2 linked regions of the Lepisosteus oculatus genome follow. The protein of the gene in region 2 interacts with the protein of the main gene of each other region in a biochemical or structural test. Links are inferred from orthologs where the notes say so. Each region holds a gene or a part of one and is shown on either strand. Other genes may lie near its edges.

Evidence for each region. The genes of interacting proteins can lie anywhere in the genome.
Region 1: the proteins of dtl (region 2) and kmt5aa form a complex in vitro, tested with the Homo sapiens proteins (2 studies listed by BioGRID, with this or other methods). The link is inferred for Lepisosteus oculatus from reciprocal best matches to the Homo sapiens genes DTL and KMT5A.

Annotation. Positions count from the first base shown.
Region 1 is NC_090717.1:7,592,841-7,603,398, reverse strand, and holds the start of kmt5aa (N-lysine methyltransferase KMT5A-A), read right to left. Parts: upstream 4,858-10,558; 5' UTR 4,618-4,857; coding exon 4,608-4,617; intron 3,132-4,607; coding exon 3,028-3,131; intron 1,539-3,027; coding exon 1,382-1,538; intron 490-1,381; coding exon 267-489; intron 1-266. Other genes in the region: sbno1 (protein strawberry notch homolog 1), read left to right, coding at 8,753-8,755. UniProt on the Homo sapiens protein: Protein-lysine N-methyltransferase that monomethylates both histones and non-histone proteins. Specifically monomethylates 'Lys-20' of histone H4 (H4K20me1).
Region 2 is NC_090697.1:46,093,842-46,104,309, forward strand, and holds the start of dtl (denticleless protein homolog), read right to left. Parts: upstream 4,582-10,468; 5' UTR 4,469-4,581; coding exon 4,417-4,468; intron 3,584-4,416; coding exon 3,458-3,583; intron 1,981-3,457; coding exon 1,888-1,980; intron 1,422-1,887; coding exon 1,360-1,421; intron 918-1,359; coding exon 797-917; intron 1-796. Other genes in the region: ints7 (integrator complex subunit 7), read left to right, coding at 5,087-5,180, 6,706-6,835, 7,700-7,846, 8,429-8,566, 9,710-9,756. UniProt on the Homo sapiens protein: Substrate-specific adapter of a DCX (DDB1-CUL4-X-box) E3 ubiquitin-protein ligase complex required for cell cycle control, DNA damage response and translesion DNA synthesis.

The DNA.
Region 1 (10,558 bases), on a different chromosome or scaffold from region 2:
TTCTACTTCAGGACTTTGGGCGACAGTTTAATCCGCTGACTTGGTAAATGAGTTTAGCAGCCTAATGCTGATCCTGCCAAATTTTCAAGCGTGATTTCACGCCAGCTCAGGGCAGAGCAGAAAGCCAGACACAGATCTGTCTCTCAAATACAAATCAGCTCTATGGTTGTCAAATGCCTTTTTCTCCAAAGGTTTAGCTACATCCTAGCTTGTTTCTCCCTTGAGGTTCCAAGACTGCACGGTTCCATGATGGAACCCCAACTTACGTTCGGTGTGATTTTACTTTAACCTTGCGCCGCGTTTCCGTTTTTGGAGAGGATCTGTCGGCACCATTGTTTTCTGGAGTCATGTCTGCAGAGGAGTGTAGACGAGCAGCTTCAAGCTCGAGGTATTTCGGCAGGCCTTCAGTCCCCGAAGATTCAAGCCTCTTTGCCTCCGACTCTTCAGATTTAGTGATGCTTACTTCAGGATTTATACCATTCTGCTTCTCTGCACAGAAGAACCAACACATCAGCCTTTAGGGCGTGAGTCTGAAAAGAACCTAGAAATCTGGTTGATTAATACAAGGAAACATTTGCCTACCACGTCTCAAGGATTTTATTGATGAGCTTAATTCTAAACAAACACTACATTCTAATCTAATCATTCTAATTCTAATCAGTTTCCAAGCTGTATTCTTTAAGATAATTAGACCTAAACTTGAACACCTGGGATTAAATTTCTTCATTTTTTTGTAAATAAACGATCTCCATTAACCTTTGGTAGTAAAGATATTTTAAATCTTACAGGTAACGTTTTTTTTCTTCTGGAAGAACGTCTAATAATACTTTTTTAAAGGATCAAGACTTTGCTTATATGGTTCTTTATTAAAATAACACTTGTAATTGAAGGTCTGTTTTCGTCATGTTAAAATTTTAGACTGAAAAAGTTTGTGTATAATTGTTTCACAAGCTAAAATGAAATAAGTGGAATCATAAGATGGCTGCTGCTGAACACAGATGTCATTTATAAACGGAAACAATTTAACAGAGCTTTAACTCAGATCTCCTGACTTGTTTCGCATACGTCTAAAACCGATTCCTTACAGTAAATGCTAAATAAAACGTAACTTCTGTTTACAGTAAATATTCAGAGGAATGTTAAGAGGGGGCACTGGGGGGGTCCAAAAGGTCTAAAGATGAACAATGCAGAGATAAAAGTTTTTGCCTCTCCTCCAGGCTACACTGAGCATCACTAAATAGTAAACGGACCACTGAAATGGAGCTCTGCATTCCACATGAAGATGCTAGCTTATCAATTAGTTCCCTGCGTACAAAGTCAGAGTTTTTATACTTTATGCCTTTATGAACAAATCTGAGAAAGACGAAGTTTTGAACCATACCCTCCTCCTTCTTAGTGGATCCCTGCTGTACAGTACGTTTGCCGGGGCTTTTTCCGTCGTGTATATGTGCGATCGAGTTTTCATCATGAAGTGGAGAACGTGGCTTGCTGGGGCTCAAGAAAGGACGTATTGAGGACTGACCGTTATAAAATATATCCTGTTTCAACACAAGGGAGAGAATGCAGAAAGCAACGTTTGAACATTATTCTCGCCGTTCTTTCACATGACCTTCCTAAGCACAATACATTAGCAGTGTGCTCCCTAGACGTGCTCAGCATCAAGCTACAACAATTAAGAAATGTTATGCTTTGGATTGAAATGTAATATTCATCCATTTTTTGTCCAGTACAGGGTCACAGGAGAGCCGGGCAAATACCGGGCATAAGGCAGGATACGCCCTGGGTGGGACACCAGTCCATCACAGGGCAGACAGACATACACACAGATATGCACACACTCACACCAGGGCCAATTTTCCCAGGAGCCAATTAACCTACCAGTATGTCTTTAGACTGTGAGAGGGAAACCGGAGAGCACACCCATGCAAACTCCGAGAGAACATGCAAACTCCACACAGATAGCACCCCAGGCGTGGAATTGAACCCAGGACCCCAGCGCTGTCTCGCAATGCTAACCACTGCGCCCCCGTGCCACCCCTGGAAGGTGCTCCATTAGAATTAAATTGAAAGAAATTAATTACAGTTGTGTAGGTAACATGCATGTTTCTCGAAAGATGATGCACATCACACAAAGGAGACCAAATTCACCTAAAAACCTATTCCCCCAGACCAGATCATTATATTTTTAAATGCGAGTATACAAAAGCAGAAGCGCATCTTCCTTCTGTGTAACCGACGTAATGCAGATGTTCAAAACAGCACCGATTACACTGTTCATAAACCCCATTTTCGGGTCGAATTAACATGCAGCCCAGATTATTTCTGCAGCCTTCCAACATACTTCAAATAACAGCTCTAGAATGTCTAGGGACATTTATCTTCCTCCCTTTCGGAATTCTTTACACATTCAACAAAGTAACACTGCAATATGGCACACGAATGTCCAGAAATAATCGAGGATGCAGCTGCCCATACAGAATACATTCCTCAGTGAAGCAAGGTACAGTATTCTGTTGTATTAATGTACTAAAGAATTAAAAATTCGCAAAGAACCAAATGGAAGCTTAAACGTCCGCCTCATCACTCCTTCTAATATGCATTTATTATTGGGGTTTTAGCATCATACGTACGTGAAAACATAAGGCTCTCTTACTGTTCTTAAATTTACAACCTGGCCGTGCTAGTGTATACAGTAGTTTATAACATGTATAGTGTGCATAGTTTTCAAATAAACTATACATACAGGCAATGTATACGGGCCGGATATTAGGGAAATAACTTCAACATTTAAAACGACAAACAATATACTACTTTAACATATGTTTGTGCAAATTAATTTGGAATATAAACAACGCAAATGATCTACATAAACATGAAAACTTAGCACCGGTAGAAAAAAAAGCAGCTCCAACTTTTCTAAAGAGGTCTCTTGTACAATTTATATAGGGATACATTTTCTCGTAGTTGTTATTTCTGCATTTTTTCCGTTAAAATATCAATATTTAAAAAAAAGAAGTCGAGACCTACCCCGTTCATTTCGGGTTTGTTTTCTTTTTTTCCTTTTAGCTGCTCCGTGGTGTGGGCAATGTCCTCAGTTTTGCTTTTACCGTGGTTCGGGGTTTTCTTTTTCCCTTGGAAAATGAAAATTAAGGCATTTTACAGGGTCGATATTTCTTGAAAAGCAAAATAAAACCATAACTGCTAGGGCGTCCCTTTTTTTCCTTTTATTTTTTTTTTTAATCAACCCAAGCAGTTTTCACAGTTCCTCCCCTCCGCCATGTTTTTAACTCAGACACGGGGAAAGTAACCACGTGAACATTTAAAGGGACTGCAAACTCTGTGCTTGCACCGCCGCCTCTGTCCAGCAGAGAGAGTTGGGTTCACAGACTCAGTGCACCCACAACGTGACTGGGGGAAAAATATATACGTATGCTTTAATTTTTATTGAATTGATTCGTTTTTAAATGAAGTTTAGTCGATCTCCCCTATTTATCTCCTAGTTTATACATGCGTTTCGATTCTATCTTGTGCATTTCTTTCCTAAACATTAACCTTTTTTTTGCTACAATGAAGGTCGGTTTATCCTAAAGAGTGCAGAAGAAACATTCACGCTGCACATGGAACTTTATGCTGCAACTCTTCAGCTTGCTTATTAATAAGCTGCTCCAATTTTTCTGACTCAACAGTTCTTGATAGGTGATGAACTGATGATGAACGGACAAGACTGACATTGGACAACCTTCACAGCGAGTCAGTGTCTCTCCAGTCCCATTGGTTATACTTCAGCTAGCAGACTTGAGTGAGGGCAAACTTAAAACTCACCACAGAGGGCAGGGTTCACACTAATGGCAAATCCCAGTCAGCTTCTTTAAGGAACTTAAAGTGGGCCTTAAATAGAAAACTGAAATAAACTACCCGTGATTAAAACCCAGTAGACACAGGGGTATTCCACGACCAGAATTTAGAAACCCACGTACTGTGCGTGAGAATTAGATATAAGATCTTACAGATCTCTCTAGGGACTCCCTCAAATTTTCCCAAAGGAATGTCCCGTCTAAAGAAGGGATACTTGCTTTGGAGAATTCCCGACCACCGACCTGGTTTCATCAGCTTCTGGTCTGCCTGAGTTCTCCCTGGCATAGCTGGTTAATTTTATCAGTTAACTCCATCATTATACTACTTCTGCCAAGGCTCTCTGGGTGTTTTTACAGATAAATTACACCTCTAAGGTTTTGAATTAAGGTTGTGTCTAAGCAAATGAGTCAATTGTTTAAATTGCCTCGTCAGGGTGGAAATGAAAAGCAGAAGGCACTAGGCCCTCCAGAAACTGGAGTCTGAGACGCTTTTACTTTAAACCCTTCCAATTCTGCAATGCCTACAAAATGCAGAAAATCTAGACATCTTTAGCTACCACTCCTGCAGTTGTGAATGAGCTTCACCGCTGCACAACACATTCTGCCTGAAGGGACACGATCGATTTCTTTCCAGTACCATCTCCATCGGTATTTTCCAAGTATATAGCACACATGGATATTATATATTCATTAAAAAAACGAGCTCGGCACGTGAATTTCATGCACACAAATTGACCGAAAAACGTTACTCACCTCTCGCCATAATAGCCGAGCCCCAGACGCGAACGTGATATTACAAGCAATGCAAACCAATTTCTCTTAAAGTATTTTAACAGTAACCATAAAAAAATGGGCTGTTAAACTACACTTTTATAAGATGTTGCTCTTTACGAGATAATCCCTACTCTCCTACCCCTATTGGCCATTTAAACAGCCATTCACTTCATATTTCCGTACAAATTATCACCCATTGTTGCTCATGGCCGTCTCAGGCTTCCGTACCACGCTGTGATTGGCTGATTAAATGAATCGTACCCAAACAGTCCGTGAGGTTTGAATTCCATGCTTACGTCCGATTGGCTGAGAAGTTTGAAGGCCTGAAATGTGATTGGTGGAAAACTCTACGATGGCCCCTACAGTGCATTTTCCCATGTGGCTATTGCTACGAGATTCTATACACATTTTGTGATGTCTTACATTTCCAGCACTGCCCCTGTATTGCTGAGCATCCTCTTTAATGACGTTAAGTCAAAACCTTCCGGTCACATTTCAGTCAGATCAAGACTTTAAGTTTCCCTTAAAATAATGTGACACTTAAATTGCTATAAATGTGCATTTACGCATATTGCGTATTAACAAAATAAAATATGCAGATTTAAAAGAAGTGAATGAGGAACGGTGATCTGTTTTACTTGAATGAAAAGTGAGCTGGTCAATATTGGAAGAAATAAACAGCGAGTTTTTATTGTCTGCTGTAAGAAATATGTTAATACATATCAAAAAGGTGCTACAGATCACATCAGAAACAGATCTTAAGCATCGATTCTCGCGGGAAAACTAACTGCCTTATTTCCGATTAGATAGTAGATTTATCTTGTTAAATGGATATTGTGGATTTGTATTCATCCTGGAAATAAAAATTCATTTACGTGATCACCTATTCCCATTAAGGGAAACGTAAAACACCAAGATGCAGTAGAACATCTTAATCTTAATGTATCTAGAAAAAAAGCCTGATTAGTCTCAGGGGAAATACCTAGCATATACAGTATAAGGTTTGTGAGAAACCTTATATAAGAACACAATATTCGGGTGCATAGACTTACATTCAGGCAACAATGTAGTGTATAAAATTGTGATTAAACAACGCAAGGAGAAGTTTCAAATACAAATACACACGAAACAAAAGAAAGTATATGACTTTATTGACCGCTTGTTCATTTTATAATTCATGAAATCTGCAATTCAGTTCATAAGAAATAAATATATAAAATATGGATGAATCCAGAGAAAGTCGTTTCAGTCGTAGAAATTAATTATTTCAAAGAGAAGTAATTAATTGTATGTGTGTGCTAAACTATTCCACAAGGGGTAGCAGCCGAATCCATTGAAATCAGTTGCTAGTTGTATACTCTGAATAAAGCTTTGTTTTCTGTTGCTTTAAATATACAGTACAGGACTTGGTTGGCATAGCAATTTTCTGGAGAGCAAGATGATGAATTATAAAGACGGTTGCAGAACGGGATTAGTTGCTAAGGGAATTTAGGGAGACGTCTTAGACGTTTTCTAAATGAATTTGGGTTTTCCTCAATGTATCGATGACAGACGCGTGAGAAAGGCTACAGCACCCTGTTAGAACACATTCTTTTCATGTTTACTGCTATTGTTTGTAACTGTGCCTATGTCTCTATGACAATAAGACCCTGCTGCAGTTAATGCTGTCATTATTGTACAAGGCAACCAGAGAACAGGGTATGCAGCCGTGCTGACTCATCAGCTAGGGCTGTGGATTTCATTTCATTGAGGCAGAGGAGGCCGATAAGTGAGTATCTTTAAAACAACATAGACGAGGCAGCGAAGGACGCCTTCCTGCAGGAACGCAGCAGCAAAAGCCCGACTCTCGATAGAGGATCCAGTCATCTTCCACGTTTAGTTTTTTTTTTTAATTTTATTTCGCTGCATCCCTTACCTGTCGGTCTTTTCCTCATAGTCGTGTATGGGACTATGCTTGCGCTTTTCTTATGATGCTAGCGTGCTAGCGTGCTAGCGTGGTTACTCCGGCGAGTGATTGTAGTTCGTTTCCATGGCAAATGAATCTAATAATTGATCATTTCAGTGAAAGAACCAGTCAGGCGCACTGGGATGATTGAGTAAAGGAAGCGATATATATTATGTGTGGAACAGTGTGGAAGGAGTGACACAGTCGTGTTAATTTGTTATAATTAATACGTGAAAGGGGCACTCTCCTCATCTTTGACTTTGCTTGTACTGGGGTGTTGGAACAGATCTTGATTATACTGGGAAAAAAAACTATACAGAAGACATGATCATATGTAACCAAGGCAACAGTGAATCTAATAAAATCGCTGTCCTTTCATGCACCAGGTTTGGGGTCGATATCTTGTACAATTAATTGTGACACAAAGCCAGAAAGCACAAGCCTGTTTCGATGCGAGTAATACAAAGAGATCCTGACTGTGCATTTAATAGAAATCATAAATGTGACACAGGAATGACTTATTTCCAATGGGAAGGTTGTTTCCAAGAAGACAACCTATCTATTTATAAAAAAAAAAAACCAAAACCAAACTGTGGCGTTTTATTTTAAGTAGCTGATGCAATGGGCAGGGTCATGTTTTTGATTAAGAACTAGATTAAATCAAGCAAACGTGATCATTACGTTAATTTTTAACTCTAAATACCCCTAACACAATTCAAAGGAACTAAATACTCTTTCATACTTGGACAGAATTAATGGGGACTTCGTGGGCATTCCTGAAACCACAACACAGATCCAGGAACAAGCGGGTTATGCCCAAAATTCTTGTCTTTTTGTCTTCTTTTTACGTTGACCCTTGCCACTCGCTTTCTTGTGCTTGTTTCCTTGTTTAACTGTACTGCTGGAGATCGGATTAATACCGTAAAATACGGTTCAGTAAAACAACGGCAAGACTTGAGCTGTCGAGGGTGAGCCACTTCTTGTGCTGTATAAACCTACAAAACCCCAAACATCAACTCACGTCGGCATTGGATTGATCAGGTAGATTCGATCAGCATTTACCCAAAGCAGAAAAGACGAATCGAAATTAAAATCCGGTTCTCGGCGAGTGCCACAAGCAATAAATGTAAATATTAAGATGATTTTTTTTACAATCGTTACTCGAAGAATAAAACATGTAATAAATTCAAATAAACTACTCCAAACACCAATTTCAATGTTCACGACATTTCAATTATTCTAGTCTAAGGCTCCCTATCCCTCACATCATCTTATATTACAGATATTGTACAAAGAATATTTTAATCCCCCCGCATCAGCAGAGTTATAATTGTAAAGTCTCACCAAAAACCTAACCAAGACCTTCTCAATATGTCCCAAATCGATACTTCCGGTATCCCCCCTAAGGAAGTGCGTCATTCATCGTCACTTCCCGACCAAGGCCACGCCAGTGGTCACGTGATCGGGGCTTTTACTTCTCTCTTGCTTCCCCGATCCGATTAAAAATATAAGGAAAAATGGACCCGAACATTAATTTCGCCGCGCCAAGCCAGCGGGACCGCGTCCAGTTCCCGTGCCGTGGGACCGGCGGCTCCTATCGCGTTTTTCGAGCGGCAGGGACGCGATTCTGGAAGATTCTGCTCTCGGGGGCGGGCGTCACGTGACATCGCACGCGGCTCCGGCCGCTCGGTAAAGATGGCGGCAGTCGGATAGAAAGCGGCGGAGGAGCTATGTAGTAGTCACCTCGAGTCTGCTGCGGTTATTTGGAAGCCAGAACTTCGACAAGTAAGTGTGCGTGTGGAGGCTGCGGGATCGTAAAATGGCCGCCGAAAATTCGTGGACTTCACTGGTGTAAAAAAAATAAATAAAAAAGAATGGGACCGGTGCTGGCGAAACTGTAAAAAAAAAAAATAGATTTGTTTTGTGTTCGCCTTGTCCGCTGTTACGGTGACTGAGCATATCACGAAGAGGTCCGAGGCTTTAAGGACTGGCTTCACAACAGCATTGTCACAGACCAGCCCCGGGCTCCAAGGCGGCAACTCGCGTTTTCTGGACTCTTGGTTCTTTCTGAGCACGTCAAAACACTCTTTCCTCTCGCTAAGGAAGGTGTTTTACAGATGACTCTGCTGGATTTGTAGATTGATTAAATCTTTATAAACAATCTACATTTATCCTCTAAATGGTAAGTATATGTTTTCGTTCATCGAGTGCTAATCTAACCTTACATGGTGTTCTGTAACTATACATTATAAAGCCCCTTGCAGTGTTAAATGATATTTTTTATTTGAAGTTATATTAATTATGGATGATGCACGTTAATCGCGTTTCTAGCCCCAAATAGTGTACAGTAGCCTTATGTTCCCCCACATGTTATCGTATTTAATTATTTTATCTGTCGAATTTTATAACTTAAATTGTAATTCGATGGTTGAAACATTTAACCATAAAGAACATTACGTAGCTAGCACTATCCAAACCCGGAAGTTTATGAATTGAACACGTGTTTGAGTAGAGGTTATGACTCTGAAAATTGACCTTTTCGAATAATACTAATTCTGCTATCACACTTGTTTGGAGGGAAATAATTTTCAAATATACTCTTTGAGACGTGTCGGCTGTATAAATTAAAACATGTTTTCTTAGAGAGGTGACTGTCAAGACGCGTGGGCCATAGGCACATGAACGCACATCAATGTAAATTGACAAAGCTCATTAACAAAAGGAAAATAACTTAATGTGAACGACTAACATTATTTTCCTGTAAAACAATGTGTTTGTTTCCTGTCGTTTCAATCTCCTTGCTTGTAAATACTGCAATTTAAGATTCCCCCTTTATCATATGAGTGACCAAGGGTATTTCGTTTTAAAGTTAAGGTTTTGTAGCTTAAATGCCTTTTTTTGTGTAGTCAAGTGTATTTTGTATGAATACACTTATAGTCTAATCAGGTCTCATGCCAGGTATAAGTGCATTCCGTAATAACTCTGAACACATCCATTGGTGCTTTCTTACCACTCAGTGTCTCCTTTCAAAAAGGTAAAGAAAACTTCCAGTTTCCATTAAAAAGGATTAAGTTCATGAACAGATAATTGGACTGAATATTTGTCCACTTCTGCAATCGACTGTTTGCTGATCCTTAAAATGATGCGAGTGTAGTATTTTAGAGAGGTGAATATTGTCTCGTGCTGCCAGATGAGAGGCAGAAAGGGTTTTAACTTTAGGAATCTTCAGGGAAGTTTGGGCTCTTGTAAACTCTTACCGTAACTAAAGCTATGTAGGATAAGCACTTCAAACATTACTTTTGGTAATAAATTGTGCACTATTGTTACCAATCCCAATGCGTGTTTTAAAACAATTTCCACCAAGCACCAAGTTTATAGCTGACAATGGGGAGCCAGTTTCCAAAAATCCTAACAAAATGCAGAATATGTTTGCTACATTGTTGCTCATGTGGGTAGTTAAAATGTTCATTAATGTGTAATGAGCACATGGTCTGAGATGCATGCTACAGCAAACCACGCACTCGCATCTGCAAATCCTCCATAATGTTTATAGTTATAAATAATCCATAGCAGTGAATGAATGGTTAACTTTTTTCTGTGTTAATCACTAATATGTAATTGGATGCAACAGAATGCAGTAGACCCTGGAAACGAAAATGAAACCTCACTTTCCTGTTATGGGTCAGCTTGTTTCTGTTTACTTTTCTCTGGAGTTTAGTGTGCACCACCAAAAGACAGCTAGCCTGATCTCTAATTTGTAACACGTTGGTGTACAGTGCTTCTTAGTAGTGTGAGATAAGGTATTGAATATTTTTCTCATGTAAAATGCTTATATGACAGTGTATTGAACTTGTCGTTTTTTTTAATTAACTATAGGGCTCCCTTTTCTATAAAATGTATTGTGATTTTGTTTAGTGTTAGCTCAGGCTCATGTTTTTTGCTCCATGGGTGCTTTACTGGAATAAGAAAATGTCCTTTTTGGTTC
Region 2 (10,468 bases):
AAAGTGGCCTGCCAGGACTATTTATAGAGTGCTTGTTATTTCAAAGAGCTGCCTGGCGAGGGGCAGCCAAGACAACAGGAGAGAGGAGAGCAGAGAGGAGTGTCTACTAGGTTAAGCCTCTAAGTCCACCTCAGGATATTTACTTATTTCAAGATGATGAATGTACAGCTGGAGCGTTGCAATACTATTTTCAGTAATGGACCAAACTGGTGAAAGTTTATAACTATATACAGTCAACACAATGGTTTCCTGAATATCCGCATAGTAGAAGAAATAAGCTAAATAAATGAAACGGACTAGTGGGTTGGATTTCTGCTCTGATTATGCATTAGCCAAGGAAATGAATGAGACTAACATGCTGGGTGTTGTGTTGTTGTGCTAAAGAATTTAAGCATTGCACCTTTTCATTCATTCTGCATGAGACACAGAGCTTTGATTCTCATTACTATTCACTAAGGTGATGAGGAACTGAACTTTTCATGGTCAATGCTGGCTGCAATTCTGAATTAGAGTTATCAGTGCTGAGACTCTAGCGTAAATTCTGCCCAGATATAAGAAATATCTGCTGTCAAAAATATTCCCCAAAGATCACAAAGGTACTTTTGCTACCAGACTGAGGTCCTTCCAACTTGTTACCAACCCATTAGAACTTCAGGTGAGAAGCTCCACCTTTGCAACGTCTTTTTCTGTTGTGTCAATTTTTTCATATCTTAACCAGGTTCCAGACGTAACACTGGAGCAAGACATGTTTTTTTTGGGGGGTAGAAAAGTCATTGCTCAGTTCTGTGAGCCTCACCCTTTTCCTGCCTTGCAAAAGCTACCGATTTCAGGCTGCACTGGTGCCCTTTGAAGGTGCCCAGGAGGTCTTCTGTCTTCACATCCCACAGCTTTGCTGTCTGGTCCCCAGATGCTGTAACCTGTGGGGTAACAAGGGAATCCATTACTGGAGAACAGCAGGTGTATGAATCCTGAGTCACTGGACAGACATGTCCATCTCTAGAGGGTGATAAACCAGTAAAGGAGATATGATACTCCTTACAGAGAAAACATTTGCAGAAACTCCCATTACATTGTAGAGTTTTCTAAAACTCCAGACTGGAAAAAGGATCAATATTTATTAATAGCAAAATCCTGTACAGAGTTTTGAGATTACACTTGAATTCCAAGTAATTTAGTTTTCCTATAGGATAACAGACAGAGACAACAGAGGATCTACAACCACAAGACAGAATGTCTGAGCTCTGCTTGAACTGGTTAAAATATACCTAAATATCTAAAAAGATACTAGGTGTTTGCTTTAGTTAATTTAGAATTTTTGAGACACGGTTTCTTCACATGTAAGAAATCAATGGCACTCACAAGTCGCGGCTCTCCAGGAACCCAGGCAATATCAAAGACGGCATTCGTGTGAGCCAGCCAATCTAAAGAGAGGGGGGACAAAGAGCTAAGGTTCAAGTACATACTTTTCAGAAGACACCCACGTGTTCATTCCTGTGAAGGAATTGGTAAAAGTTTTTTACTTCCTTTACAAAATGAAATTATCATTCATCACTGCACAGATACAGATGTCTTTACTAAACACCTCCTGGTCTGGTGTTTTTCTTTTGTGTGGAAAAGTGACGAGTGCTCACATCTTAGGGGACACTATTCACATCAGGATCTTTTCAGGAAGTGAAGTGTGGCAATAAGGTATTGCAAGGTATTGGAACAGGGAGGACAATGGCTCCAACAGTCGTAGTTCATTCCACTTTAGGTCTGTTAGACGGAAACTTTATAAGCAAAGGCTTGTGCTGTATGACGATGTTATGACTGGGGGGAGGGGGGGGGAATCAAGCAAAGAAGCAGAGTTGATTCAGATAAATGGAGACCCTTTCAATCACTCTTTACCTTTCAAAAGTGGACGCCTGCGTGACTCTGTGTCGTACAGCCTGACGACACCTTCTTCGTTTGCCACAGCCAGGATCTGCTGCAGGCCTGGAGCTAGTGAACAGAGACCCACGTTACAGCGACAATTATCCTGAGAAAAGTTTTCTGTGTATAACACCAGAGGAACTAACTACGAGTAACAGAATCCATTTTCACGTCTTAAATCTGACACTAAGCAATTTTGTAAAAATTACTGCTAACTCACAATTTTCAGAAAAGAAATCTCACAAGCAGATGAACTCCAGTCAACACCAAATTAATTTTACAGAACAGTGTGCTGTTTGTCAACAGCCATTAACTTGCCGTGTCTTTCTAGACATAAAAGTCCTTTAATAAGACATGTAAACTGTTCAGCTGTATAAAAGATGATGTTCGTCTTAACTCATCCTTATTTAGTTGTAATTTGCTCTTTAAACGCCTCTGATAAAGACTAAACAAAGCTAAACACCTATACCTGACATCTATATAACAAGCTTTAACATAGTTGTGTTAAAAAGTAATTTCGGAATTTACAATACATAAAAAGTACATTTCACAATAAGGTCAAATCACAAAGCCAAAAAACGAAGGAGATAAAGAATATAAAACAGTGACAATGTTTTTCAGAAAAATAAGGTTTTAGACTAGAATTAAAAGCACTAAAATGTTGCTGCATTACTCATAGATGGTATTCCAGAGCATAGCGACAGAATGTGGTATCACCCCGAAAGTGTAGATGAACCACAGAAACACCAAAAAAGATCCAAGTCAAAAAGAGTGGAAAGGAGGAAAAGGGTATAGATACTGACTAGATACCAGAGGGTCGCACCATGTAGACTAATGAAGGTAAGAAGGATTTGGAAATTAACAGGAACAGGAATCCAAACACTCCAAAACAGGAGTGACGTGACAAGATCATTTGTAAGTGACCTAGTCGGGATTTAGCTTCCGAATTTTGAACCTACTGTAATTTAAGAGTAGCCTAGAGATTCCTGCACAAAGAAATGCAGAAACATCCTCCCCAACCCCCTCTAAAGAGCGGACACCTTAGGAGGTAACCTAGAACATTTCTAAGAAGGAAAAACAAGCACTGTGCATAAAGCAGTTATTTTTTATTTAAATTATTTTTCCTAATAATTATCCATTTGTTTTTCTCTTGAGTTTTGTTGGGTGCAAGGTCACATTAAAGACGCAAATATGTCTGACATAATTTTTCTTTGATTTCTGGCTTTACATCACAAAAACCTGTAATTTCAGTAAGGGTGTGTAGACTTTTTATATCTGCTACATGGGTTTCAAAATGAAGCAGGATCGAAGATAATCCCCAAATCCATTCTTCCAATTTAGAACTCAAACGAGGTGCCCTCAACAGGTAAAGCTACAGAGTGGGATTTAAAGAAAAAACCCAGTCACGTTACTGGATTTAATATCAAACCAAATAAGGAAATGAGCAAAAAGTGAGGATTTAAGATGAGGGCGATTTATTTCAATCCACATCATATTTAGCTTGTAACAGGCTAAAACACAAATAGACTTTTTGGCGATCCTCTACCTGTAGAAAACGTGCATCCGAAGGGAGGAACTGGAACCCCCATATCGCCATACGAGATGTGCTCATCTTGTCTAGCACACTGGTAACAATCTAACAGGGAGGAAAGCGGATACACACGCTCCGGCCCTGTAAGGGAAAACAGTGTTGAGAGTTCATTCATTCTTGTTAAATTAAGCCCGCGCGACCGCTCCCGTCCACATCTATTCATTTAAAAAACTCCGTCAGAGTGTAAGTTTCTACGATCTACTTCGTACGCGATTTTGCTTAAATCCTTTAAAATATAGTTTAACGTTAAATAGAACAGTTAAGAGTTTCATAAATAAATTCAATGAATCCTAAAAGTTTCATTGGTCTAAACGCCGTTTTACAGTGTGGCCTCTGTTTTAGAAATACTGATCGCATTGATAAAAGCTTCCGTGTCCACATCGCGATCACCAATATCATCAATATAATGGATTTTGGTATTGCTTTCTCGAAACCGATGAGTTAAGAAGCTGATTTTAGATGGTTTCACACAGAGAAAAACCGAAAATGAATCGTATTGAAGCGTGTTTCCCACCCAACCCCCTCATCTTTACATTTTAACACCCCACCGTAGAGGAAGAAAGAGCACCATTTTGAGCAGCAAAAGCGAATCCTTTTACTTTAGGAAAAATAAAATGAATGAAAAGCACTTTAAATATATTCATCCGCGTTGATCACCTCATAATTAGAAGATAATGGCATAAATAGACACAAAAGCTAATTTCAGAACGCCCCCCAAAAGAAACAAGTTAAACAAGAAATGGTCGATCTTTTTACTTTCTCTCTTTAAATAAGTCTTGATTCAAATACTATGCAAGGTATTTAAGAGGCAAAATGTGAAGATCTAACGCATTCCTCCCCCAGTTTTGAAGATTAATTGACTAGAGAGCCAGTACTCTATATTAAATCATCACCTAGCAGCTAATTTAACTTACCATTGTGCCTCCTTCTGAGAACTCCTCTATCAACAATGGAACGAAATAGCATCTTGCAATTTGTTATTGTGTTTAAAACTCAATTGCAAATTAAATGGATTTAAATTTCACAATGCAGCACCACTAGCTGTGTATCTCTTCCTAATGAAATACACAAGTACCCTTTCCCGCGAACTCAGAAATGAAAAAAGAATACGAAACACCCGCCTAAATGACGTTTCGCTACATGATTGGTCAAGAAAGCACAGAGTGGTCAGACTCCACCCACTCTGCGTAACAAAGCGAGTACCAGTCAGAGATACCTGGATCCAGATTAACTACTCAATAAAGTACAGATCCCAACCCTCTCCCATAACCTACAGAAAATATTACCTCCTCAAACAGGTACCAAAACTTCCCGGTCATCTAGCATTTTGAATATCCACTGATGTCACGTTATTGCGCCTTTCTTGCGGCCTAGTGGCGGCAGCACGTTTACGTCATGGGCGGGTAGTCGAGTGTTTATGTCACTTCCTGCCGCTTTGCACTGCTGGGATGTAGCAGTTTCTTTTGTGCCATGTATGCAGTATGATTGTGTTTTAATTGAAAAGTCCTTTTTAAAATCAGATTCTCAAACGTATATTGTAATAGAGAAAATTGTTGACTATATTTGACTTTCAGTCTAGGAATCATGTCTTTAACAACGGCGCGATCATTCTTGTCAGAAGCTGGTTACGGGGAGCAAGAATTAGATGCCAATTCTGCTCTGATGGAGCTGGACAAAGGTAGTTACACACACCTGAGTAAAACGCGTGCAATGCTTTGAGCTTCGAGCTGTTAAAAATGTAAGAGGTCGTTCATGGGTGCTGCTGTTCTGTAATAAAAATACTTTGTTTTGGTGGATTCATGTAAACACCAGCCTAGGCCGTTTTGGTTCTTCCGTTCCACTGTGACTCTGCTGCTCACAGTATAGATTAGGCAGTTAAACTAATTGTTGGATCAATGATTAATCATTTTACTGAGAGAGACGAATTTGTTCAGTCCTTATTATTCAGTGATTGCTGCGCTATATGGTGTAATCTAAATCGTAACATATACAGTATATTATGTATATACAGATAGTAGACAGAATATGCACAACCCAGTGGAATGAATGCACGAATGTGCCATGCAATTCTGCAGAAGGGATGCAGCACCATTCTTCCACGAGAAAGCCAATCAACTCTCACCTGGTTAATGGAAGTGGAAAACACTATCTCACCCCACGGTTCAGAATATCCCATAAATGCTTGGTAGAGTTTGGATCAGGTAACAGAGAAGGCCATGTGATGTGGAAAACAGCAGTGTCACCTTCATCAAAACACTGGGTGACCACGTGCGCTAAGGGCATTGACATCCTGGAAGACTCCCCTCCAGGCAGGGAAGAAATTCTGCAACACAGGGTGAAGGTGATCACTCAGTGCCATTAAGTAGTGGTTACATTAACCTTACCTTCTAAGGGAAGGAGTTCACCTAAACTGTGGCAGGAAAATGTACCCCTTAACATTACTGTACCCAGGGCTGTAGAGTTCTATAGGATGGTGCCAAAAATGGTGAAGAACGATTTATCTAAACAAATGACCTTTTTCTAGTACTTGATAGTCCATTTGCTGTGCTCTTTGCACCACTAGTCTTACAGGCGTGTGTTACAAGAGGTAATGAGTGATTTGCGCTGTGCAACCCGTCTAAATGATCCTGCTGTGTGGATTTCTCAGCATTTCTCTTGATTAAACTGGCTGCTTGTGCCCCAGGATGAAATTTGTAGTTCTGATTAATGCTTGGATATTACCATCCTGGAGTATACTGACCCATTGTTAGGACTGACCGAAGATGTCTTTTCTATTGGGTTCCATGCTGAAATCAGCTTAGACACTATGACTCTTGATCACTTAAGTTTCTGCTAAACACCCCTTCAAAGTCACTGATGTCTCCCCTTGAAGTTATAATAAAGGCCAACCAGGCCTGTCCAGCATTTCTATACATGACTCTAAGAACGCTGGGTTGTTAATTGCTTAATTAATGTAATGAATGAGTTCTGTTTTTCCTCCATTAGCTGTGTATTTCTGTATATGTCATTGAATCATATATACATACACTAAATCCTTTTTAGATCCTGCACCAATCCTTGTAAAGACTGCAAGATTGTTGTATCACCTGAATTCTTTCATCTTAAGTTATTTACTGTATGAAATCCTAAGTTGGAGTCTTCAGATGTGCAGCAGCACAGTTTTTTTACTAACCAGTATTGTAAAAATCGTTCCCCCCCTGAAGGGCTGCGGTCCGGCAAGCTTGGAGAACAGTGTGAAGCTGTGGTGCTCTTTCCCAAGCTGTTCCAGAAATACCCGTTCCCTATCCTGATCAACTCCGCCTTTCTGAAACTGGCAGACATCTTCAGACTGGGGTATGTGTTGAAATGAGCTCCCCTCCAAGCACAGCACTTCGTCTTTTACTGCTCTGCTTAACTGAGTTGCTTCTTAGGGTTTCTTGCTAAATTGAAAAAAAATCAAACAATTTTTGCATTTAGTGTGATTTTTCAGGCTGTTTTAGTTTTTGCATGCCTCAATGGAGAAGGTTTTATACAGTATGGCAGCATGAACTCACCATGTTCTGAAGCCATGCAAAACGTAACTGGTGATCAGTCACAGATAATTTGTTAAATTAAGTAGTATGAAGATTATTGGGAGCAAAACTCTTCAGTCCTGAAGGACAAGTGTTCCTTTAATTGGAAAAATTACTGGCCTAATTGAACAAAAAGTACAGGTGGTCCCAGACTTTAGAAATTAGTGATTTCGGAATACTCAGTGACTTCTGCATGGTAGTACAATGCTACTCTACGAAAGCTGAATTTGACATTACAAACAAAATCTAACAGCATCATTTCTGAATGTCACCTTCGTTCCCTTGAATTCCTAAGAGAAGGGGTCGTCTCTTTTGTTTCCTGTAAAATTTTGAAAGTGCAGTCAACAACAGGGCTCATCTGGCAGTCACAGTTTATTATTATATTACTTACATTCCAATGAGTCATTACATGTTTTTCAAAAATAAAAAGTAACTTGTGTTTTTTTAGCTGAATGAGAAATGTTATCATATTCCTTTCTGACTTGTTTTAAAATTCTGTAATGTTAAAACCCAATTGAATGTGATACTAGGGTGTATGTCACAAACATCTACTTTTTAACCATCTTAAAATAAGATGGACCCTTAGTTTTTGTGTTTTTATGAACAGTAGGCATTATCTCCCAATTGTTCTGTCTTTCTGTCACAGAAACAATTTTCTACGGCTCTGTGTGCTGAAGGTGACTCAACAGAGTGAGAAGCACCTGGAAAAAATCTTAAATGTTGATGAGTTTGTCAAGAGGATTTTCTCCGTCATTCACAGCAATGATCCAGTGGCCAGAGCCATCACTCTCAGGTACCGAGAATTGTAAACGATAATTAAGTAAGAATTATATAATTAAAGGGATCATCAAACATGGCCTTTTTCCAAAGAAAGATACCAGAGCAAGCCTGTGGATCAGTTACATGACACTCAGAGATCCCTCACTAAGGCATTTGTAACAAGAAATTGCTTAGAAAAGTATGGCAGATACTGAGTTCCTCATGGTGTGGCGCAGGGGGTTAATTTCCACATGGAGTTTCTATGCTCTCCCCGTGTTTGCGTGGTTTTCCTCCGGGTGCTCCGGTTTCCTTCCACAGTCCAAAGACATACTGGTAGGTTCATTTGGCTTCTGGGAAAACTGGCCGTGGTGCGAGTGTGTGCATGTCTGTGTCTGTGTGTGCCCTGTGATGGAGTGAGATAGACTCCAGCTCCTCCCACAACCCTATACTAAATAAATGGATAGGGAAATGGCAGTAATACACTCTGTGTGCTGAATGATATACTATAATAAGGGTTTTCCTTGTCAAGTGATGATTGTATCCCTGTTTATGCCTCTTGTTTCTGTTTTGGTGATTTTTTTCAATGGTGACTCGAGTTTTTCTTTTCATTTTGAAGAATGCTGGGTAGTATGGCCTCCATTATCCCAGAGAGGAAGAATGCCCACCACAGCATCCGCCAGAGTCTGGACTCTCACGACAATGTGGAAGTGGAAGCAGCGCTTTTTTCCGCGGCCAGCTTCTCTGCCCAGTCCAAGTCAGTGTCACATTTTTGTTTAGAGTCAGGGTGTTGCTGGGGGGGGGGAGCATTTCCTTAAACAGATTGTCTCACACAGTGAATGCGTGGGGATTGTTACACTCCACATTTCGTATCACTTGATTTTGGTAATCGCCTTGGTAATGAACCTTCCACCAAAAATAAGTTCTGGAAAAAAAACTTCTCAGGTCAAGCTAAATGTGAGGGCACAGAAAGAAGCAAATCATAAAGGTTAGTGTGGTGTGAAACTGATCTCGCCTGTGTGATTTCCTCACAAAGCCTCTCAAAAGCCGTTTAAAATGAAAGAGTTGGGAACTGGAAGAGATCAGTCGAAAAATGACCGATAATTTAAAAAACATTCCAAAAAGTGAAACTCTGTAAGTATGAAAGGTGGTTATTGTGAAATATTCCTATAAACATGTATTTTTTAAAGGAGCCCGTTATATCACTTTGCTACTTACCTGGTTCTTGATTTTCTTAGGTGTTTTTACCCAGGTACTTTTCAGTGCTTTCTAAGTGTCTCAGTGAGACGTGTTCACTAAAAATAAAGCTCTTATAAAGAAACATTAGTCACTTAATGTCACTAATGTGACATAGTGTGCACTCAGATCCTAACACCTGCTCATGTGACTTTGTCATGCAGTCAGTACTGAAGGAACCATTGATAATAACCTTAGCCAGATCGAAGCCACATTCCCTTACAATGATGCGGACATCCTTGCTGGGCAAATGAACACAGGTTCTGTTTTGCAATAAACTAACAGTATGTGTTAGTTCTGAACGTGGTGCTTTCCTTAATTGAACTGGTGAAGCAACTTGACACTTCTCCGCCTCATAGATTGTGTAGCATGACTGCTGATGCATTATGGCTGCTGCAAGACCTCAAGGATTGACCTGCACTTTAATGATGGATGAACTGGTCCCCTCCTATATACTGTATAAAGCAATTTTAAGTCCTTTGGGGTAGAGTACTATGTATGTTTACACAACTGTTATCATACCGTTATATACATATAGCTGTCACACAATAAATGGATGAACACAATAAGACTGATAATGGTTTAATAGTATTCACAACAAGAAAATGCATGTGTGTTATAAAATGCGTTGGTCTGATTTTGTATGTCTGCGTTTTATTTGCAGAGATTTTGCAGCAGGAATTTGCAACAAAATTGGTGAAATGATCCAAGGTAGGTTGTTCCGCTGAAGCCCATTTTATTCCTCCTTGAAAGGTGTTGTTCTGTCAGTCTTGTAATTTTCTTAATTTGTTATATATACGGTCACTGACCTTTAAATTAAATTTGTACTTCCATTTAGTTCAGTTAGTGGTGCCATCGCCCTATTGTATGCATTTTGTTTTCCACAGCCCAGTTGGAAATTGCCATTTGTAACAAAACATCAGTTGTCCGACAGCTCATCTGTTTTGTTTGGCCAACAGCGCAAATTGCCGAGCCAAGGAGAAAGACAGTGGATTTGACATAGCACTCACTGGTTTCATTGCCAACGGCAGCATCTCTGTTACATGAACGAACTAAACATACCTGTGTTGTTCGTCTGATTTTATGACACTGTTTTAGAACACCTGTTCTCAGCTTGCCAATAGATATAGCATTTCATTCTTAATGGTATTATAATATATCATATCATATGTGGATTATAGAAAGGATTTGATTACCGCATTGAGTTCTTTTCTAAGACAACTGTATGTTTGTTTCCATTTATTTTTGGTAATACTAGGGATTGAATAAACTAGGCTTGGTTTCACCTGCCCTTTACTCAGGGCTGCACTCAGGCTCTGGTCAGGACCTGTTAATGCTGGTCGCAGCACAGCATTTTGTGGAAGTAATCCGGCTCTGCTAATTTCTTCTCCACACAAAGGGTTGTGGGAGTCTGGAACGACCT